2 linked regions of the Arabidopsis thaliana genome follow. The protein of the gene in region 1 binds, or shares a complex with, the protein of each later gene. Each region holds a gene or a part of one and is shown in the gene's direction. Other genes may lie near its edges.

The links.
Region 2: the proteins of RUP2 (region 1) and UVR8 are in contact, whole or in part, in a crystal structure (PDB 8GQE), measured with the Arabidopsis thaliana proteins. Residues at the interface, in NP_568435.2 of Arabidopsis thaliana: Ser37 (codon at 4,581), Ser38 (codon at 4,584), Ala39 (codon at 4,587), Ser40 (codon at 4,590), Val42 (codon at 4,596), Gly44 (codon at 4,602), Gly59 (codon at 4,647), Ile60 (codon at 4,650), Ser61 (codon at 4,653), Arg62 (codon at 4,656), Lys63 (codon at 4,659), Tyr95 (codon at 4,755), Cys97 (codon at 4,761), Pro99 (codon at 4,767), Lys101 (codon at 4,773), Leu102 (codon at 4,776), Ser103 (codon at 4,779), Tyr121 (codon at 4,833), Asp122 (codon at 4,836), Thr134 (codon at 4,872), Glu138 (codon at 4,884), Asp140 (codon at 4,890), Glu141 (codon at 4,893), Gly143 (codon at 4,899), Gly144 (codon at 4,902), Arg145 (codon at 4,905), Arg146 (codon at 4,908), Trp148 (codon at 4,914), Asp167 (codon at 4,971), Cys193 (codon at 5,049); in NP_201191.1 of Arabidopsis thaliana: Ser25 (codon at 5,113), Arg41 (codon at 5,348), Glu43 (codon at 5,354), Asp44 (codon at 5,357), Asp77 (codon at 5,456), Trp94 (codon at 5,507), Asp96 (codon at 5,704), Phe97 (codon at 5,707), Asn104 (codon at 5,728), Ser105 (codon at 5,731), Ser106 (codon at 5,734), Asp107 (codon at 5,737), Arg146 (codon at 6,066), Tyr201 (codon at 6,622), Trp233 (codon at 7,125), Tyr253 (codon at 7,185), Arg286 (codon at 7,489), Trp302 (codon at 7,537), Lys304 (codon at 7,543), Phe305 (codon at 7,786), Trp337 (codon at 8,015), Arg338 (codon at 8,018), Arg354 (codon at 8,066), Thr356 (codon at 8,072), Trp400 (codon at 8,478), Ser402 (codon at 8,484), Pro403 (codon at 8,487), Ala404 (codon at 8,490), Glu405 (codon at 8,493), Arg406 (codon at 8,496).

The regions. Positions count from the first base shown.
Region 1 is NC_003076.8:8,000,814-8,010,660, forward strand, and holds RUP2 (Transducin/WD40 repeat-like superfamily protein), read left to right. Parts: upstream 1-4,283; 5' UTR 4,284-4,472; coding exon 4,473-5,579; 3' UTR 5,580-5,817; downstream 5,818-9,847. Other genes in the region: PHS1 (dual specificity protein phosphatase family protein), read left to right, coding at 1-447, 593-739, 857-1,084, 1,184-1,341, 1,424-1,781; RPS11-BETA (ribosomal protein S11-beta), read right to left, coding at 7,438-7,528, 7,613-7,702, 7,796-7,940, 8,194-8,294, 8,384-8,424, 8,506-8,517; AT5G23750 (Remorin family protein), read right to left, coding at 9,191-9,385, 9,481-9,562, 9,679-9,766. UniProt on the Arabidopsis thaliana protein: Functions in association with RUP1 as repressor of UV-B-induced photomorphogenesis mediated by UVR8 and HY5.
Region 2 is NC_003076.8:25,550,492-25,563,627, reverse strand, and holds UVR8 (Regulator of chromosome condensation (RCC1) family protein), read left to right. Parts: upstream 1-4,128; 5' UTR 4,129-4,212; intron 4,213-4,643; 5' UTR 4,644-5,040; coding exon 5,041-5,134; intron 5,135-5,321; coding exon 5,322-5,508; intron 5,509-5,699; coding exon 5,700-5,846; intron 5,847-6,058; coding exon 6,059-6,140; intron 6,141-6,531; coding exon 6,532-6,687; intron 6,688-7,094; coding exon 7,095-7,268; intron 7,269-7,473; coding exon 7,474-7,545; intron 7,546-7,785; coding exon 7,786-7,857; intron 7,858-7,990; coding exon 7,991-8,109; intron 8,110-8,292; coding exon 8,293-8,378; intron 8,379-8,469; coding exon 8,470-8,522; intron 8,523-8,726; coding exon 8,727-8,807; 3' UTR 8,808-9,212; downstream 9,213-13,136. Other genes in the region: PP7 (serine/threonine phosphatase 7), read left to right, coding at 720-1,115, 1,194-1,688, 1,777-1,923, 1,999-2,106, 2,197-2,292; AAP4 (amino acid permease 4), read right to left, coding at 10,254-10,910, 11,006-11,145, 11,224-11,438, 11,534-11,627, 11,752-11,985, 12,074-12,134. UniProt on the Arabidopsis thaliana protein: UV-B specific signaling component that acts as a UV-B photoreceptor and plays a key role in establishing UV-protective responses in plants.

The DNA.
Region 1 (9,847 bases):
GTAGTAACACCAGTTGTACGCGAGTTTCGAAATGGTTTCCGAGCTGGTCTCAGGGATTTGCAAGAGTTTCACATCTTCCTTGTCACCCTTCATCAGAAATTAGATGTGTTGCTTCGGGCATTTTTTAGTATGATGGACAAAACAATGTGTGCAGATTTTGACAGAGAAGACTTTGCTGTTCCTGAGTCACCTTCACATACTCATGGGCATGAGGTGAATCATTATCCATCTCCCTCAAAAGATCGGGTGCCTAGTGATAACAGCTCTGATCACAGTGAGTCAGATATGCAAAAATCAGTTCCTAGGACACCAAATTCAGAAAACAAAGAAGACGGGTCTTCGCCTAAGTCACGTGAAAGTTGGCACGGAAGATCCGGTAAAGGTGGAGAATCTCTTAGCAGTCAGCGTTTGGCAGCAAAGCTCCGTGACTTCCATAAGTTTGCAAAGGTTTGTCGCTTCGAGCTTTGATCACTATGTTCTAATTTGTAAAGTAGGTTCAGATTTTTTATAAAAAAAAAAGTTTGTCTTCTTGGATGGAAGTTCTCAGCCATTTTCTCTTTCTTCACTCTCAATATTTTCATGGTGCGTCCAGGTTGATGCTGAGTCTAATAAAGAACTAGACCAGTGGAATGAAACACTGCGGAATGAAGTGATGAAACTTTGCCAAGAGAACGGTTTCAACACTGGTTTTTTTGAGGGCAGTGATAATAACAGTTGCACAGATGCTTATGAGCTAAAGGTATCATGAAGTTTTATTATTTCCTTTTATCCTGAATATGATCTTCATTATATAATATAGTTTTTGGCAACTGAACTCAAACATTGTCTCTCTTGTTTGCATTCTCCTTGATAACAGGTTAGACTTGAGCATATTCTTGAGAGGATATCATTGATTAGCAAAGCTGCTAATACAGAGAAACCATCAATGATACAAGAAAATCTTTTTATCGGGGGAGGATTGGCTGCAAGGTCGATTTACACTCTTCAGCATTTAGGTATAACTCATGTTCTATGTTTGTGCGCTAATGAAATCGGGCAATCGGATACTCAATACCCGGATCTCTTCGAGTACCAAAACTTCTCAGTAAGTGAACCTGTCTTATATGTCTCTTAAAAGGAATTGGTAAAAAAAAATGCATCTATAAAGATGATCGTTTTCTTCTTGTGTCTTCCCTTTGACCAGATAACCGATGATGAAGACTCAAATATCGAGAGCATCTTTCAAGAAGCTCTCGATTTCATCAAGCATGGCGAAGAAACTGGTGGCAAGATTTTAGTTCATTGCTTCGAAGGTCGGAGTAGAAGCGCAACAGTAGTGCTTGCTTACCTAATGCTCCAAAAGTAAGTTGTTGGGGACAAATAAAATTTGTTGGAAATTTTCAATACTTGTTCTCATTTGTTTACTGGTGGGAACAATAAATAGGAAGCTCACACTTTTAGAAGCATGGAGCAAACTGAGGAAAGTTCATAGACGAGCTCAACCGAATGATGGATTTGCGCGGATCTTAATAAACCTCGACAAGAAATGTCACGGGAAAGTATCAATGGAGTGGAGACAGAGGAAACCGACAATGAAAGTGTGTCCGGTTTGTGGAAAGAACGCAGGTCTAAGCAGCAGTTCTTTGAAGCTTCATCTCCAGAAATCTCACAGGAAACTGTCTTCGGGAAGTGTTGACAGTGCAATGAACATGGAGATTCAAAAGGCTTTGGAGGCTCTTAAACTCAGCACTGGCCGTGGCTCAAGTGCTAGTTCCAATTCTTTCCAATCTCATCCTGGTTAGAGAGTCCGGTTTGGTTTTATCTATGGTTTGTCCCGGTTAAAGTCTCTCTAATCGTACATCTCTGAACAAAAACATTGATCTGTTTTGTTTTGTTTTTTACTGTAACGATCTTTGTACTTGTATACGCAAGTAAATAAAAAGCCGAAAAGCTGAATAGAAGTCACTGGGAAACGTCATAATAAGCTAATGTAACATTTGTAACTCTTTTTCCCTTGTGCTTTGTGTTAAGAAAGTAAGATTTGGCCCAAAAATGTCATAAAACTAAAAAATTGATTGCGTAATCAAACAAAAGTTCCCTTTCATTTTCGATATAATAAACTAAAAAAATTTGACATTCTTTCCGGCGTGCACATTGATGAAAGTGAACTCTTGTTAACTTTCATTTGTGACTTGTATGGAGTACAAGACGTGCGTGATGTGCCAGACGACGGAGAAAGATGAAGGAATCATGAGGTGGTATATGTATGAAGAATGGCTATGGAAAGCAGACAAAGTAAAAATTGATTGAAATATTGGGGAACATAAATGCAAATCTAATTTGATGTTAAATCTATGTGGGAAATCTGATAACGGTGGATCGTCTTTGTGGACCAACTTGGTGTTAGCTTTTTTTCCAACTACTTATTAATTTATCCATTCCTTTGTTAATGACTAGTCTCTCCTTTAAGTCATCCTTTAAGTTGCTTTTGTATCTCCACTTTATTCTCTGCCTTCTTTTTCATGGGAAAGTTGCACATCAGAAGCACCAATGAACTTGTAATGAACTCCTTCAAAAAAATTTCTGATATTATATCTTAAGCGATGTCCTCTCTCCTACATTTTTGTTTGTTTATTGTTTACCAATTTCTTGAATAACAAGTTAATTTGTTTCTTCAAAAAGTGTAGAAGCCCACTTTTGTAACGGACGTTAAGATTGCGCTTTAGTTGGTGAAATTTTATATGTTAGGTAGTTCACGTATTTTGTTGTTTGGAGAAATATTAATAAATGGCATTAAATGGAAATCGAATCCATTCTTTGAAGCAGTGTGGGTCCAAACATGGAGCACAAGTGTTATAAAAGACTTGAGGCTGAGAAGTAACGAAGAGACATGAAAAAGAGGACAATGACCAAAGGTGGTACATAACACACGTATGACTCGTCCTTACTTTGCTGTCCACAAAATTCTCTCATAAAACTAAAACCTACCACCGATTTTTTCTCCTCTCTCTCTCTCTCTCAAAATCTGCCCCGGCTCTTCTTTATCGGACGCGTAGTATCAATATCGATATTTTAACCCCGTGATCTATGCTTATCTTTTCTTGGTTATATGGTTATAGAGAACCGTTATCTGTTTTTGATACCTGTAAATAATATAATAGAAATGCTTCTTAGACCCGACATTCGTAAATAATATAATATCGAGAATCAAATAAGTTACATGATTCGGATTTTCATTAGGAATTGGACAACTATCGAGAATGGTTATGGCATATTTATACATGTTGACCACTTATTTGTGAGTGGTTATTATCCCGGATATAAAATGATCATCTAAGTGAAAATTTTTGAATCCGTCCAAACATTTCTACTATTGATCCGAATGACAAAATCAAGATAAACTAGTACTCCCTCTATTCATAATAGTTTGATGTTTTGGATTTTGACGCTTATTAAGAACTCAATTATTGTTTAATCATTTTAACATTTTTCTTAGTGTTATAAGACAATAAAAATAAAGAAAAATGCTAGAAAATCAATTTTTATGAAACAAAAAACAAAAGCTAGAGCATCAAACTTTTAGGAACATATGGAGTATTTGGTATCAAACGATTTCGTCTATACGATATGGCAATTTTAAGCGTATATGTCTCTTTCTAGCTTTGAAAGTTGATTTGATATAGAAGAAAATTGACTATTCTGTAAAATAAAAAGATTGTATAAGTGCATTGAAGCCATGAAGGCTATAATTTATTTATATTTTTTTTGGTGAATCAAGCAATTGAAAGTAACCAGATAGGAAAATGCTACGTCTTTTTCAATCACATCGTCGAAAGTTGTACATTTTCTAACAACAACAAAGTAATTCAAATCAAATCCTAAATGCCTACTACGATTGTAAAACTAAACAACAACAAAGTAAGTTAAAATTCAAACGTTGATAAGAAACTATTTACTTTGTTAGTTTTGGTGTAGGAAAAAGTAAGTGGTACAAATAGACGTTTTGTTTTTGGTTTTTAATGTTTCGGTGTTACCATTACGATCATCTCATCATTGTAATTTACGAACAACCTCAATCTAATGGTCAGTGAAGATTTATTGTGATAGTAGTCGAAATGTTACTATCTTTTTTATTCAACATTTAGTTAACGTCCTTTCGCCTACTACAAGTCAATCAATTTAATACAAGAATTTGCCATGTTTGGCTATATAAGTAGCCACGACAACAAACTTCACACTTTCTTGCCTGAAATAGAATTCACATGGGACCTTTCTCTGACATTTGCATAGGAATAGATAAACTCATAGAATAAAAATTCATACGTGGATTAGTAATAAACCCAATTATTTACTGAGGGAAAAACAAAAAGCCATATTAAAATGAATATTATATTCTAATGTATTAAACTATTAATAAAAAAAATTCTTTTGAATGGGATTGGTTTTCGATTGGTCCGAAACCCCAGAAGCAACAGTCATTACTCTGTTTTCATATGAACACTCTTCATCCTCACAAGCAGCAACAAGAACAAGCACAACAACAAGAAGAAGCTAGATACGAATGGGATCTTTCTCTCTCCACCGTCGTATCTTCCTCCTCCTCCTCCGCCTCCGACGTTATCGGAGCTATTGAATTCGATCCCACTGATAACATCGTCGCTACCGCCGGGATTTCAAGAAAGATTCGTTTTTACGGCCTCCCTTCTCTTTTACGTAACAACGCTGTCTCCGGTACCGGAGTTTCCTTCGTCGATCAAGCCACCGCCTGCGAATATTACATCTGTACTCCGGCGAAACTTAGTAGTCTCCGGTGGAGACCCGGGTCGGGCGGTCGGGTTATTGGGTCGGGAGATTACGACGGCGTAGTGATGGAGTACGATCTTGAGAAGAGGACGCCGGTATTCGAAAGGGACGAGCACGGTGGTCGTCGTGTATGGAGCGTAGATTACACTCGTCACGGCGGCGCTTCGACGGTGGGCGCGTCGGGATCGGATGACGGGACTATGCAAGTATGGGATCCGAGGTGTCCGCCGGAAGAATCTGTCGGTGTTGTACGACCGGCGGGGATTTGCCGGAGTGCTGTTTGTTGCGTCGAGTTCGATCCTTCCGGTGGACCAGCCGTGGCCGTCGGATGCGCTGATCGGAAAGGGTACGTTTACGATATAAGGAAACTCGTTGACCCGGCGTTGACTTTACAAGGTCATACGAAAACGGTGTCGTATGTGAGGTTCCTCGACGGTGGGACGGTGGTGACGGCAGGTACGGACGGTTGTTTGAAGCTGTGGAGCGTGGAGGATGGGCGCGTGATTCGCACGTACGAAGGGCATGTGAATAATCGGAACTTCGTGGGGTTATCTGTGTGGAGAAACGGCGCGTTGTTTGGTTGTGGATCGGAAAACAACAGGGTGTTTGTGTACGATAGGAGATGGGGGAAGCCGGTTTGGGTAGATGGGTTTGAACCAGTTGGTATGAATTCTGGTTCGGATAAGCGGTTCGTGAGTAGCGTCTGTTGGAGGCAATCAGGTGTGGACCAGTGTACCCTAGTGGCTGGAGGATCTGATGGAGTATTACAGGTTTACGTGGGCAAAAGAAAACCATAGTGTTCTTCTTAATTTATCATTACTATATTTTATGAATTATGATGATGATGATGATGATGATGATGCTTCTTAATTTCTTTTCTTTTTTTCAAATTTAATTTCCTATTTGAGATGATTTTTGATTGAGTTGTGAGAGCATACGATCTGTTTGTTTTTTTTTTTAATTTATAAAGGATTTTTTACTTGTTCAATATCTTTGTTGTTACTCAGAAATTTGAGTTTTTAATCCATAAATTTTCATTACCTATTTATTATACGATATTTGGGAATGACTTTCTTCAAGTGTTTGATCACAAAAGTAGCTAGTAGCTACAAGTTTGTTGGTAGATATAAAATAAATTTTATTGCATTCGTCTACCTTATCTAGTGTATACATCACGAGATTAGTTATTTTTGCTTTTTTGGGGCTTCACAATAGAATTATTAAAAATAAAACTATAATGGTTGATGAAATGAGAAAAGCCTAATCAATCTAGCTATGTGGTAAGCTTGTTTTTTTAATCACATCTTATTTAATTCTATGTTTTTTTAGTAAGAAAAAAGGCCATGTTCTGGTTTAATCGTCCTGAAACTCAAAGAGTAAAGTCGTTTTAAACAACAGAATTTGTGCACCACATTTCTTAAAGAATCATATTTTTGTGGGTGCTTCGTATCGTGCCACAATGATGGTTTTAATCACCTTTGAAAATCTTAATATAGAAGACCTAAAATTCATTACGCAACGGAAAGAGTTATAACAATTTAGATTTGTCGCCCCACATAAAAGAAAGTTTTGTGCAAAGTAGTCCTTCACTCCTAAATGCCTACTTCATGCATTTGCTGATCTCAAACAATAATTAAGTGCATGAGAGAATATACTAATCTACACTTACTAGATAGTAGATACGTGCATATAAAATAATAGGTTCGTGGCCAATAACTAAAGCTAATTCAAGAATTTAGAGACGCCATATACTAATTTACACGTCCTGTCACCATCCACTAAATATCAATGAACTCAAGACCAACACAAAACCACTTGCTAAAGATAGGCAAACGTGTAACGCCTTTCTTCGTATAATTGTATTTACAAGTTCACTGTGTATTCTTTTTTGGCAGCGTTCAATATTTATATTCAATCGCAGAACAAAAGAAAAAATAAACAACACAAAACTGGCAGTGAGTGAGAGCAATTCAAGACAGGCAAACAAATGTGATTTAGTACAAAAATAGACGGTATATAGAACACAACACAACCGGATAAGACTTACAAGATCATAAAGAAGTATACATTTCTAATACTAGGAAAGAATCCATATGTAACCGCTTCTGGAGAGTAGTCTGAGGCTCAGATTCGTCGGTGGTCAGGAGCTTCGATCATCGATAAGTTATCGTCTGATTTACCATTTCTATGTCTTGTTGTCTTCATCAAGATCGCTACATTTTAGGTACATTAGGAAATCTATGGTGGTCTTTCGTTATGATCAAAATAACTCTTTCATAGATCAAAGAGGCTGCCACCCAACTTCTACTTTTCTTTAATATAGATTTTTGAATGCAATGTGTTCTTATGGTTTAGTAGGGTATGCCCAAAAAAACACAAATAACCATGATAGTAACAGATAGAAGAATTCATTTGACAAAAATAAACAAGTCCACTTCTTTTTTCTTAAACTACAAAAACTTCTGTGTAGCCAAGTGATTTTGAGAGATTTGCAAATTTCAAGAGTTGAATATAGTAGAGTTGTTCAACGAAAGTGCGTAGATTTGTATTTCGTCTGTGATAATCAAAGTCTCCAACAAAAGGGATCTTTAAACAAAACATTAAAACATTCCGAAATCAAAATCAAACCAAAATCTCCCATGACTTTCAAAACTCTTACACTCCAGTGAAGGCCTTTTTACCAAAGGCAGATGCACCCGCTGGAATCACCTTCAGCACATTGAACCTAACCGTCTTCGACAACGGCCTGCAACATAAATCACAAACAATCAGAAATCGTTTTCCGGCACTACCTGAATCATAAAAAGGTATAAGACAACCTAATACTCACCTGCATTGGCCAATGATGACATGGTCACCTTCCTTGACACGGAAACACGGTGAGACATGGGCAGGGATGTTGGAATGTCTCTTCTCATATCTAATGAAAAATTTAAGATAATCGTTTATCAGCATTGATGTTATATCTTTGCGCAGCTCTATCAAGAACATAGGTTCATCACAATGTACTTACCGTTGATACTTCTTCACAAAGTGAAGGTAATTCCTACGAACAATGATGGTTCTCTGCATCTTGGCACTGTGGCAAGTACCAGCTAAGATACGTCCTCTGATAGAAACGGTTCCAGTGAATGGACATTTACTGTCAATGTAAGCTCCTGTTCCACACAATAAACATATCAAAGATTACAAAACATCTCTCAAATTTTCGGTTTTGCTTCAAACCTAATCAAAGCAAACAGCACTCAGTGATATTCAGCTAAACACCAACAACAAAATCTCTAATTTTCAACAGAAAAACTTTGATTATACTGTTAACCACCTAATACACAACACTAAATCAACTATTCAGATCAAAGTTTGAAGCTTTCGCTTAAATGATAATCAGAAGTATGAGGAAAAACAACAAACCATCAATGGCTTCACGAGGAGTCTTGAAACCCAAACCAATGTTCTTCCAGAAACGGTTTCCACCTTTACCAGGTCTCTTTCCTTTCCCAGATATCTTCGAGCTGAAACACACAAAAAAAAAACATAAATCATATGAATCGATTTGTAAATGGAAGTAATAAGATTCTCAGATTTGTTCAGATGAATTTACCTAAGGAAGACCTTGGGTTGCTTAAGAAAAGCTTTCTCAGTCTACAAAAGAAAGAAGAGAATGAGAATCGTAAAGAGTATCTATCAGAATGTAGAAATGAACACAAAGGAATGAAAATGAACCTGCTCAGCCATGGCTACTGATTGCTGCTCTCCACGGAGCTCTGAGGCAAAAAGGATGAAGAAAATGCGAGAGGCAAAAGAAAGCGAATGAGAGTAATCTCAAGTAGTGAAGCTCCGGAAGAAACCCTAGTTTCGAAGATCTCTCTCTTTATTTGGGTTTGGGCCTTTGTTTTATGGGCCGTGATTTACATTTTATTAACCGGCTACTGAAATGTTGGGCCCTTTTGGGCCAACTTTGATCCACGGATAAATTGTTCGCTATACTATTGTGACTCGTTCGTAGCTAAAACATTGATTTGATTTTATCTTATGCTACATTGATTTGGTTGAGCATAACATTTTATGATGCAAACATTTCAAATTATGGGACCTTGTTCTCGTTTTACATATCGGACCACTTACGTACTACTACATTTATGATAGGGGCCGGGGGATGCGATCATAAATTACGACATAAAGAACAAATATGTATTATTGTACTTACCAATTCATAAAGCTAAGAGAAAGCCTTTCAATGAAAAGATGTACAAATACAAATCAAATTAACAAACGCAGCCCAATCAATATAAGATGTTGACCTTATAACTTTCTATGTTGCCATATTAAACCCACATTAAGCAAACTAAAGAACGTCATTACATCAAATACCATATTTCATTTGTTTCCCCATCGAGATGATTAGAGATCACATGCATCCGAAAAGCTTTTTGGGAGCGGTTCCAGTGGCACGGTACTTGGCTGCTAATTCCTCTGCTTTGAGAATTTCTTCTCCACGCTTAGCTTCAATCATCGCTCTCTTCTCTTCTGCTTCCTTGTGAATTTGAGCTATTTTGTTCTTCATCTGCTCCACATACTCTGCCTTCTTCTTCTCCAATTGCTCCTGTTGTTAAAAAAAAATTCCACAATTTTGAAAAAGCTCGGAGCTAAATCAGAAATGCTTCAAAATCTCTAACTAAATATTAACTTCAAACATACCTCCATTTTCTTGAGCTCAGCTTCCACAGCTGCTTTCTTGTTGTTCTCCCATGATCCAATTGAAGAAAGCTTCTTCTCAGCTCTGTTTCAAAATATATTCTTCAAGACCTTAATGATAATATCTTGGTTTCATTGCAAAATATTACTAAATCGGGTTAATAGACATTTATGGATAAATGTTAACATGAAAAACGTTACTTGTTCTCCACTTTGCATTTCTCAGCCTCTTCCCAAGCTTTGATAAGTGACATCCTCTTCTCTGTCTCAACTCTAGCCAGAACAGCATCTTCACTCCCAAAATTATTAAGCAAATACAATCACTAATCAGAGTTTGTGGGAAAAATAAGAGACAATGATAAACACACAT
Region 2 (13,136 bases), about 18 Mb from region 1:
ATCCACACTGAAAAATAAAAAAATCGAAACCAAACAAAAATTCCTTGGATAGTACCGTAAACAAAATCAAGCTGAAATCGATAAGTAACCGAATAGACCAATGTATAATTCGGTCTCCCAATTTTGTTCAAGTTTATATCAAAACCAGAACAAACCGGTTGGCCACCTTTAACAAAATCTCGAACTCGCGTTTTCGATAGCGCGTGATTGCAAAACGCTATTGCAGCGTCACGACAAAAAAGGTTTGTTCGTTTATTAAACCGGCCGGTTTGGAATCATGAATTTGATTTGAATCCTTTTAGCTGGTTAACCGACGTCGTTTGAGTAAATGGATCCAAAGCCAGACAGATCCTAAATCTCGTCGACGACGGTGTCGGGACTGAAAGCAGAGAGAAAGCAAAGTAAGCTAGCTTAGCTAGGTCCAAGATCCAAGCTTTGGAATTTTGTAAATTGTCTCCACTCTTAGCCGGTGAGTCTCACTCTGTTCCGAATTATTCTTTGTGATATGGATTTCGATTTCCCATGATTCGATTTTGTACTTTTTGCTCTTCTCTTGAGTTTAAAGATGTACGAATGAATATATACAGATTCGATTTTATGTTCTGGTGGCTTTGATCGCTGAAATTTGAAAACTTTGTCTATGTTTCGATTGCTTGATACTCTTGTTTCACATGTTCATACTCTGGAATTGATTATAGATTAGTGTTTTTACAGTTTTAATGGAAACTGTTCCACCATCTCCCATTACATGGCCAGATGGGGGAGCTCTCACTAACGACTGGGTACATGGGCTTATGTCGTGTTTCGAATGGTCTTCATGGAATCTACCTCCTTCCCAGTTACCTTCACTATTGCCTGTCAACGTCTTTGATTCCCTCGTCCTCACCGCTCATAAAATCCTCCACAAAGAACGTAACTGCGTTCATATCGATGATCTTGACTCTGTATCCAACGTTGTTGTGGTTGGTGACATTCATGGTCAGCTTCATGACCTTCTTTTCCTATTGAAAGATACTGGCTTTCCTTGTCAAAACCGGTGTTATGTTTTCAACGGAGACTATGTGGATCGCGGTGCTTGGGGACTTGAAACCTTCCTTGTTCTCTTGTCCTGGAAGGTAAACTCTTTACTAAGCTGTTTTACTATTGGCTCAAGTCTTAGTATTCTTAAAGCACATATCTTTTTGGTTGTTTAGGTTTTGATGCCGGACAGAGTCTACCTACTCCGTGGTAATCATGAGTCAAAGTATTGTACATCTATGTATGGTTTCGAGAAGGAAGTGCTTACAAAATACGGAGACAAGGGAAAACATGTGTACCGGAAATGTTTGGGTTGCTTTGAAGGTCTTCCTTTGGCTTCCATAATTTCTGGACGTGTTTATACAGCACATGGAGGGCTTTTCCGCAGCCCAGTCTTGCCTAAGCGAACAACAAGGGGGAAAAAGAACCGTCGGGTAGTTCTTCTGGAACCTGAGCCGAGCTCAATGAAACTCGGTACCTTAGATGAGTTGATGCAAGCTCGAAGATCAGTTCTTGATCCTCCTTGGGAAGGTTCAAACTTGATACCAGGAGACGTTTTATGGTCTGATCCTTCAATGACTCCGGGCCTTTCACCAAATGAACAGAGAGGCATTGGTCTTCTTTGGGGTCCCGATTGTACAGAGGATTTTTTGAAGAAATATGAACTGAAGGTGACACCAAAGTAGATATTGATGCTTGTTTGCTTCCCAAATACTGATATGGATGATTGGATCAAATGTTTTACACTTATTGGTGCAGTTGATCATCAGATCACATGAAGGTCCAGATGCTAGAGAGAAGAGAACTGGTCTTGGTGGAATGGACAATGGATATACAATAGACCACAATGTCGAATCCGGAAAGCTTATCACTATTTTCAGTGCACCTGACTATCCGCAATTCCAAGTATGTATTTTTACGCCTTTGGTATTTGCATTTTCTAAAGATATGCGTTAACAATCATTTTTGTGTGTGGTGTAGGCAACAGAAGAGAGGTACAAAAACAAAGGAGCATATATTATTTTGCAGGCGCCTGATTTCTCGGATCCTCAATTTCATAGTTTCGAAGCTGTTAAACCGCGACCAAAGGTAACTAACTTACGATGCTGATAATGAACCAACGAGTTGTTTTACTTCTTTGATACACATACATAGCGACATCGGTTTTTAAATGTGCAGGCGCATCCATATTATGACTTTGAAAATGTCATTGATTCTGATGATGAGATGGATAAGTCAGCAATGGACACCAATAACGAACAACCAAATAGCTGACCGAAGCTGAAAAGGAGTATCTTGAATTGATGTTTTTTACAGTTGTTGTGATTGCTCATTATTTGCAAACATAAAATGGAATCAAATGTAAAGAAAAGAGATGAAGAAAATCATTTGTAGAATTCACATTTAAGTTATGTATGGAAGATGAAGAAATAAGAACCATCTTAAATCTCATGTAGTTCTTAGTTTCTTGGTTCCTACACGTCTTATTTAAACCTAAATCTTGTAAGATTTTGCTCTGTTTTGTCAGGTTAGCCTAAATCTTGAGAGGTCAAACTTGCAGTAACTTTCATTGTATAGAATTGCTTTTAACTGAATGATAAATCGAGTAGTAGATTAGTCCAATGGAAGTTTGTGGATCAAGTTATGTGTCTGTCGGCATTATAGTTTTCCTTTGAAATATTGACACATTACTAGAATCTTATCCAACAAAAAATTGTGTGGTTATGAAAATCCTAAGTAACGAGACAGCTTATTAAATGCCGAATTTGGTAGCAATTTGTTCAGATGAATGTATGTCTTCTTGTAAAAGACAGTATGAAGTGGAGGTTGATGCTAACTATCTTATGGTTCCTTATTGCACTTTGAAGCATTTATTGCAATTGTTTTCGGTTTTTTCTCTTGAGTGGGCTAAACTAATAATGGTCTGTTCTTTCTCTAAAGAGAGAAGAATTCGACAGGAGCGTGAAGCATCTTCATTCGCAAATATAACACATTAAAGCTACCTCTAGCATCATCTGTGTGATTCTCTCCAAGGTCATTCGTTGTCTGTCACGGGGCATCTCAAGTAATAAAGCTTAAAGTTAACTGTCTTTTCAGCCAAATAGTTTCATCATCTAAATATTCACATGATCTTCCATATTTCATCACCGATTATGGTTACAACATTTTTGCAAACCCTAAAATTTGTGTTATCGCCAAACTTGACCCTTATACCGGAACCCATGTGGGTGGGTGTTGATTTTTACTGTTTTGTAATTTGTTCATCGACAATCATTGACATGTACTCACCGCAATGTTTTTTCTTTCCTAGTTTCATGTGCATATATGTCTCTAAACAGTAATTGTTTAGCACTTCATGTCAAGCTTAAATTATTATAGGTGTCTTATCTTGTCTCTCTAGTATTTTCTGTTGAAGTCATGTGCATTAAATTGTATATAGTACTTCCAATGGCTTTCATATAATTTCCATTTTTCCACAAATTGTTCGTAATGATGTTTATTTAACAAGATTATAAAAGATAATGCAACAAATTTGTGTGATGAATGATGAGATGAACCCATTTGAAAGAGGTCGCAACAAATGTCAACATTAGAGACCATCTTGATCTAGAGTTTTGTCTCGTTGACTTTAATGCCAAAATTGGACAATACATATAATGCATGTATCAGGCAATGCAAAAATATCTTCATTCATTTAATTTTCTTACTATAATAGATGTCACAACTTCCCTCACTGACAAGCATATAATGTTGGTTTTATCTCAATGTAAACAACCTTTTAGTTTCACATAAATGTTAGGTCGAGCGAGGTGATATATTCGTTCCAGATCGGATGAAACAAGTAATTCATCGATGTTACCTTTATCCATATGTATATGTAAGATTATGGGTTTTAGGTAATCTAGTAAGTACTACTAAGTAGTATCCGTATGTAATTTTTTATTTATTTTTATCCGTTATGTATAATTTCTTTGGCCGTTTTCGCAAAATCTATATTTGGATGTTTTAGATCGTGAATTGATATATCTTAATTTGAATATTTAGGTATTCATATATTTTGAATCTATAGTTGACCTGTTGACCATGTATTTTGATTTGAATATCTCGCTCGATCGATAGAAGATTTTTTTTTGTTTTTGTTTTGTTGATAGTAGAATCTTCAAGTTGTAATTTAACAAAAAAAAAAAAAATCAAGTTGTAAGTAGACCGTATATCTGTATATTTCCATATGTAGAACCATGCATTTTGAATAATTGAATAAAATAACATGTAGCAAGACGTATCTTCATATGATAATCAGAATCATAATAAAAAGACAAACTGTACACCATATTGTAATCCAGGTTTAATTTGACCTCTTTGAAAAACTAAAATAGCTGAACTGAATATTTATAACTAAAAAGACAAATTGGATATGTCACTTTGGACTATGAAACTCAGAATTTTTTTTGACTAACGTGTATACTTTCACACGTGTGCATGACTAAAAACATATGATTAGGCTCTTACGATCTATGCGCCTTACACCTGTGAATGATGAACACATAAAACACAAGTTACGATCTAGAATGTCATGTGTACTGGCTTAAATCTACTTATGTGAAGAGGTAAATGAAATGGTCAAGAAACAAAAAAAAAAAGAAATGGTGAAATTATGAAAGTATAAAACTTTACCGGTGAGGTCCGTATTTGGATTTATTAAGTGAAGAGGGACCCTTTTGCAATTAAAGCCTGTACGACAAAAAAGAGATTTACTGTACGGTTAAAACAAAAAATAAAAAAACCAGCAAAAGTAAAAAAGTCAAAAAGCAGATATATGACATGTGCAAATCTCCATCGCGCCTTTATTACCATCTACCGCTTTCTCTCTCTGTCTTTCCTTGTTCAACCCTCGAGAGATTACGGATAGTGAAAGAGAAGCTACAAAATTTCCCAATTTATCAAAAAATAGAAATTTCTTACTTTTTTCAAAATTCATTTCTCCCCAAAAAAAATATCTTGTGAAAACTGCAACTGTGATCCATGGCGGAGGATATGGCTGCCGACGAAGTTACGGCTCCTCCTCGTAAGGTTCTTATCATCTCCGCTGGTGCTAGCCACTCCGTCGCTCTTCTCTGTACGTCTCTCTTCTTCTTCGCTGTTTTTTTTCCTTTTCTATTACGGACTCAAATAATCACCGGAATTGTGAAATCCGCTGCTTTAGTAGGCTGTGCTCTTCGCGAATTCTCTTGATCTGGCCTTTAATCGAGTTTCCCTTACTTTCGTCGTCTACTAATGAGTAGTTTTATGTTTTGATTTTGTAGCTGGTGACATTGTTTGTTCTTGGGGTCGAGGAGAGGATGGACAGTTAGGTCATGGCGATGCAGAGGATCGACCTTCTCCGACTCAGCTTAGCGCTTTAGATGGCCACCAAATTGTTTCCGTTACCTGTGGTGCTGATCACACTGTTGCTTATTCACAATCAGGCATGGAAGTCTACAGTTGGGGATGGTTTGTTTCTCATCATTATCTTCTTCTTTGCTGCTGAATCAATTGCTCTTCAGTCTGTTTGATATATTCGGGATGAGATGATGACCACTAGTTCCTCTCTAGATTTTTGTGTAGAAAACAGTAACTAATTATACACTCATTTGCACATATTTTAAGCCTCGTGTTCTCTAACCTTTATGTGTACTTTGCAGGGGTGATTTTGGGAGATTAGGCCATGGTAACTCAAGCGACTTGTTTACTCCGCTACCAATCAAAGCATTGCACGGTATTCGGATCAAGCAGATTGCTTGTGGGGATAGTCATTGTTTGGCTGTCACTATGGAAGGAGAGGTCCAGAGGTATTTTCTCTTTGTTATTGTTCTTCTCCTTATGTGCAATCATTTACAGTTTACATCTCAGCTCAATTAGATGAATTTCATCGGAATTTGATAATGTCGATTGCGTCCTGTGTCATTTCTATATATCTTGGTTATTGTGTACATTGCCTTTTAAACGTTTTGTCTGTCTTGTCTTGTTTTCCAACATATCTCTTTGACTTCTGTTTATACAGTTGGGGCCGCAACCAGAATGGTCAACTTGGTCTGGGGGACACCGAAGATTCTCTAGTGCCTCAGAAGATTCAAGCCTTTGAGGTTTGTATCACTAAATATTCTTCTAACATCTTTTTTCGTTGTAGTTTCCTCAACTTGCCAAATACTATGCTTCAGAATTGGGTCAATGTTGGGTCTATTTCTGCAACTTGATCTTCTTAAACATATGACTGTTACTAGTTAAGGGTCCACATCTGGTGAAGATGTCTTCAGAATCATAATTTAAGTTACATAATTTTAGGAGTGGTAGATACTAAATTGGATGTCTATGTGTTATACTATCTGCAAAACACAGATAGAAGGTAGGATCTTATTGATAATTTATCGGACTAGGTAAACTAGAAGATTAAGTGATTAGAGACCCTGAGTTTATGTTGTTAGTTTCGCTGATCTCCATTGTTACATCAACACTTTAAACTTGTAATGGGTGCAGGGAATACGAATCAAAATGGTTGCTGCTGGTGCAGAACACACTGCTGCAGTTACAGAAGATGGTGACCTCTATGGATGGGGCTGGGGAAGATACGGAAATTTGGGATTAGGTGACCGGACTGACCGCTTAGTTCCTGAAAGAGTTACCTCTACTGGTGTAAGCTAGAAGACTCTTGTTCTATAATTTTTGTTTAAGCACCTGCTACTTGTTTAAACTTGCATTTGAAGTTCAGTATACGTGAAAGAAATCGTGAATAGCTCAATATGCACTGCACTATTCTGGATTAGCTGTCTATATTGATGGAGTCACACGTATATGCAGTCTAATTTCAGTTGGTGGGTGTCAGGGAAGTGACCATAAAACTTTTAGAATGATCAAAGTTTGGTATCCTGAATCTGCACAGTTCATGAAATGAAATTTAGTTCATATAACATTGATATCACGCAACCTCACCTTTTTACCAACTTCTATTTCTGCATTTTAGTCCCTCAATTTTTTCCTTAATTCTCTTTTCATTTCGACTCACTTGACTCTCGTTTTCCTGGTTGTAACTACAATTTTAGGGTGAGAAAATGTCAATGGTTGCTTGTGGATGGCGGCACACAATATCAGTTTCCTACTCTGGAGCATTGTATACTTATGGATGGAGCAAATATGGACAGCTAGGACATGGAGACTTGGAGGATCACCTTATTCCTCACAAACTGGAAGCACTGAGCAACAGTTTTATCTCCCAGGTTTCACTTAGGCCTTATAAATCTGTCTTGAAATACAAATTTGTACATCTGAAATATCCAACATATGGGATAGCAATAATATGTTTTTCGAAAACTTTCTGACAACTATTACCTACTGAAGAAGACTGGCTTCATTGTATGTACTTCTGTTGGTTTTCTTCTTCTGTTCGACATCTTTTGGACTTACTGTTCGTTTCTTTTCCAGATTTCGGGAGGTTGGAGACATACAATGGCATTGACTTCAGATGGAAAACTATATGGATGGGGTTGGAATAAGGTCTAGAATGTCTTGCTTTTTTTTTTTTTTTTTCTGGCCTATATTTCGTAGAAATGTATAGAACACCTATTTTCATCTACACATTCACTGATATTTGCATTTAGTTGCTTTATGCTGTTAAGGAGTGATATGCATTCACTTAGATGTTATTTTAAGAAAACAACAATGCATATATTGGGTAACTTTAGTAACTCATCTTGAATAAAACAAACTTCTAATTGTCTCTCTTTTAGCCTGCAGTTTGGACAAGTAGGAGTCGGCAATAATTTAGATCAGTGTTCTCCTGTGCAAGTGCGATTTCCCGATGATCAGGCATGTTATCCCTAAAAAAGTTTAACGAGAAAGCTCGTCCCAATGTTTTACCGGCTATATAATCATATTAATAAGTTCATGTCTCAATTCGCTGTTTTCTTTTCCAATGCACACATATTGTGGAATTTCACAGAAAGTAGTTCAAGTCTCATGTGGATGGAGACATACCTTGGCTGTCACTGAAAGAAATAACGTGTTTGCTTGGGGTAGAGGTACAAATGGACAGCTCGGCATTGGAGAGTCGGTTGACAGGTAAAAGTGTGATCATCTAATCGCTCATGAATCAATGTTTTCCACTTAACATATCTTGGTGTTACGAACAGAATATGAAAATTGGCCAGTAAGATCGTTGTTTCCACCAAAATCATTGCTTTTCAATCCCACTCACTACCTATCTTGATAATGTGAAATGGATATTTGGTTTGGTGTTTATAGGAACTTTCCCAAGATTATAGAGGCACTCAGCGTCGATGGAGCAAGTGGACAACATATAGAATCTTCTAATATCGATCCATCTTCAGGTATTTAAACAATACCACTAGTTAAAACGATTTCTGTAAACGACTCAACAAGTGATTAAATGATTCAACTTTTGCATTGCTTTGTTACCAGGGAAAAGCTGGGTGTCGCCTGCAGAGAGATATGCAGTTGTTCCTGATGAAACGGTAAGCCTTAATTTTGTTAATTCTACTAAACTTTATATCCAATACGTAAACTACAATGAAAGCAAATGGCACAATTATATCGGCTTAGAACCAGATTTTACTGATTAATCATTGCTGCACAATTATACCTTGCTCTGTCAAGATCGTGGATTGTTTTCAAGGATGAAATCTATGTGTGTGATTTTGAATTTGGTTGTGTGTTAGGGCCTAACGGATGGTTCAAGCAAAGGTAATGGAGGTGATATCAGTGTTCCACAAACTGATGTCAAGCGTGTACGAATTTGAGCCTGAGTCAATTCCGTTTTTTTTTTACTTCCGGTTCTTCCGTTGGATTCGAAGGTTTTTCAGTGATCTCTTTTGGGTTGAGGTTTGTACTAAGAGTACGTCTGTCTAGTTTGGGATTGTACTTTTTGTTGTTGTTGTTAGTTTGTAACTTGTGATGCTTCCCTCCCCCTAGCTCTCTTATTACATGGGCGTTGTAAACTGTGTGTACTACTACTACTAGTCTCTAGGGTATGTACTTTTTTTTTCCTCACCATAATAATACCTTCTGGTTCTATATCTTTCATTTCTTAAAAAGTTTTCTGTTTTTTCCTTCAACCATTATACAACTTATGTTTTAAGAGAATTTTCTTTTTGTCTTATTTTTTTACCGCCTATGTTTGAATTCAAATATGATATGATTGATAGTGACCCGCTGAGTTTTAGAGTATTTGAATTTTGGAAAAAAAAACAATTTTATCAATCAAGATCAAAACTTAAGAAGAACAGTGATCACAGATTAACAAGTTGAACTTCTCCTTTTTTATCAAAGTGTGAAGCGCAGATGAGAACGAGAGTAGTATGGGTATTTTAGTTTACAACTTTTGGGTAGGTTAGCCTTTAGGCCCAACACACAATGCATGTTTCGTATTTCTATATATTCTAGTCTCAATACGAAGAGTCTAGAATACGAAGAATTTCTAATGGACTAAGTGATGGATATGTCAAAAAGAAAAAAAATTGATCCTTCATCATCCGCCAACCTAGTTATGCTGCCTAATATATTTGGCGTTTAGTGAAAATTTTCTATTGGGTAAAACTTATGTGGGTGATTCTCTTTAAAGCAAAACCATCCATATTGCTCTTTTAGTGTTTCTCTTTATGTGTCGGGTTTCTTTCCCTTAAATTATTCCAAATCGATGTCACTTAGATTCGATTCCATGTTATTACCTTTTTCAGTTCCAAGTCGCCATCTTTCAAACTTTCTAATGATTCTTGATGTTTCATCCACGAGTCTTTCATTCCCACCACTTTCTTGCTTTTTTAATTTCGGGTAAATATTACTCCATATATCATTTCGCCAATCTTCTTATATTCACATACACTTATTCATACATTACGATTATCTCATGGCATTACTCCGGCAATGGACTATACCTTATGTTCAAGTTGTTTTTTCTTAAAAAACCTTTTTTCATAAATCTATGTTAATCTATAATTCATTTTCTACATAAATCTATTAGTATGTTTATTGTCTTTAAATCCATATCTGGTTAACAAACTTTCAATAAACACCACATCAATTATAGATTGAGAACACATTATGTATATAAATTACGCAAGATAAAAATTATACGAAACGAAGAACTTTTACATTATTCACATTTCCCCAAATGAAATATATTAAAATTTATATCTTTTGTTTTTTTCTCCACCACCTTCTTCTTCTTCATCATCATCATGGTTTGTTTAGTAAGTAGTCTTGAACGGCTTGTAAACCTTAAGGTCTAGCATTACTCCGGCGATGGAGCCAACTCCGGCGACCAACGTGATCATCAAACAACCACAGCTCAACATCTGCAGACAAACCCACTTCATACTCCATCTCTCAACCTTCCTCTGTCTTATATACATCTCCACCGGAAAGTAAACCGTCAAAGGCCAAAACCCTAACGCACCTAAAATCCCTACGACGTCGTTGAAAAACGGCATAAGCATGGATATCACAGTGGTCAAAACCACAAACCCGCTTCGGTAAACTGCTCTGAAAACGTTGACTTTGTACGGTGACCTAAAACCAGGGATTCGGATTTCGTATTCCTTGGTCACCAAGTCACTGTCGGGAAACCTAGCGGCAGCTTGTTTCTCAATAAAGGCGAAGATGGGCTGAGCAAAGACTTGATAAGCTCCTACAAGGTGGATAACTATGGCAGCGTTAGCCACGTCAAGGAGCCAAAACGGATTGTAGAAACCAAAACCGGTTAAGAGGTTTCCCGGTGCTTTATCTCCGAAGGCGGCATAGCCCATACAACCACATAGCATGTAAAATGTCGTTGTAACAGCGATGCTGATTCTTGTGGCGATCTTCATCGTTTTTGATTCTGCTGGTGGAGATCTTACAGTGTCCTAATGAAAACCCACATGCACCCCAAAAAAAGGTCAGAGATTTTGTAAACTCGTATAGAAAACAGATTCCATATTGGTTAGGTTCTTTATCTTACCTGAATTTCAATAAGAACAACAGAGTATGAATAAGCAAAGGCAATGTCTCCAAGTGCTTGAAAGGTTCTCCATATTTTTTGGGTCTGAGTCACTGCGCCGATGCTAATTCCGGTGAGACTTCCCTTGACAACTCCATTTGCTGAAACACATTAGAGTTAGTTAAACCCTCTGCTTTGTTGATTACTGCGAAGAGTCTTACAAAGTAATTTTCTTTTACCCGCGACTTGAATGATTCCGAGAGCTAAACCGATTGCAGAGTATGTGAAGGACATGATAGCAGCGACAATGGAGAGCCACCAAATCTGGTCAAAATCTTTGATCTGAGAGAGCAAGATCTCGGTCACACCAAACATGATCATGTATGGATTGCTCGACATGTGACACGGGTTTTTCCCTCCGCTCTCGTGGAAACAGTTGGACCTCTTGATCGCCCTGAAACTCGATCCGATACAACCAAATTTTTAAGGCCTTTTATCTCATTATATGGTGTTCCAAAATAAACTAGTTTGTGAGAAAGAAAGACTCACATCATACTTATAGATGCTGCGATTGTGTACCCGACCGTGATACCAAACAGATTCAAATACTGAATCAGCCCACAAATCTTGAACCTAAAGCCACCTGCCAGAAACAGAGCATTTCAGAACACAAAACAGAGTAAAACAGAACAAAACAGAGAGAAACAACCCAAAAACAGAGCAATCAAAGCATATGCGGAGGAAAACAGAGAGACGATAGTTGATACCTAGGATTGATCGGACAGCGTCCATGTAAGTATAGTTTCTCTTCCCAGAGACAGGATCTCCGGTTCTGTAGCAGTCGCTAAGAAGCGTGGAAGAGTAGTAAGTGACAAAAGAGAACAACAACATCACTGTAGGACCTGCGATCCAACCGAGTTGACCTATAGCCCACGCAAGCGATAGAACACCAGATCCAATCACGGCGGTTATGATATGCGCACTCGCGGTCCAAACCGTCCCTGAAACAATCGCAGTTTTTCTCTTTGGATCATTCATTTCAAAGGTGTAAACTGTCAAGTAACCAACAAGGGGATTTAAATTTTTTACCTGAACGTTTAAGCCGGCCATCGTCATCAAAACATTTGAAAGCTGGCCGTGGAACATCCATCTGTTTTTAGTGAGAAACCAAAGTTATGAGGATTCACTAGTTTCAAAAAACGGTTAAAACTAACGGATAATGGCGGTTATAGTTTTCTATAAACCAAACAAAAAAAAAACTTGAAAGAGGGAGAGATCAGTTATAGTACCTTCTCTTATTGAGCTCTAAGAGATTAGACAAAGCTATGCAGAAAATTAAACCCCTCAAAAGAATGCAATGCAGAAAAAAAGAAAGAAATGCAAAAGAGAAATGAGGAGATGGGTGGTGAGAGAGCAGTTGCTGCTGCATTTTGAGTGTTTTGGGTCATCATCTTTTATAAGCCATCAAAAGTGGAAGAATCTTTCTCTAATTTCTTTGATAAATAATTATTATATATATACAGGTCAGATATGTAAAAAGTTCGGCTACATAGGCCATACACATTTATATCATTGTTTAAAAGAATAATGTGGGTAGTAGAGTATCGCCCAAATTTATATATGAGCCGATTTAAAAAAAACAAACACTTTGTAGTATTCTTCTCCCATCTCTCATTCTTTGTGTGTGAGTGATTTTACGTGTACTCTTCTTCTCGAGTGTTTTATTCTTTTAGCATCCATTAATCCCATGGCTCTATAGATCAAACATTACGGTTCTTGATTGACAACCTGAATCAAGATTTCGAATACTTAAGTCCTCTACAAAGTTAATACTTAATAGTGTATAAATGATTTCATTATCCGAATTCGAAGATCCTATATAAACATCCACAGATCTTAAACATCTGTATTTTATGTCTTTCAAATGATTATGGAGTTTAAATAATATGAACTAGCTAGAAACAAATACTGATGTAAACATCAAAAAGCGAATAAATTTGGCTCTTTGTCTAAGCGTTCAATATATAATTTTTGAGAGGTTTTTGCATGGTTTTGTTTTCTCTCTATTCTTTAGTGAAAGATACGTAAAATGAAAGAGAACCAAATTCTTGTTCTACGCCTCCATACCTTTTGGATTCGATCTAATCACTCA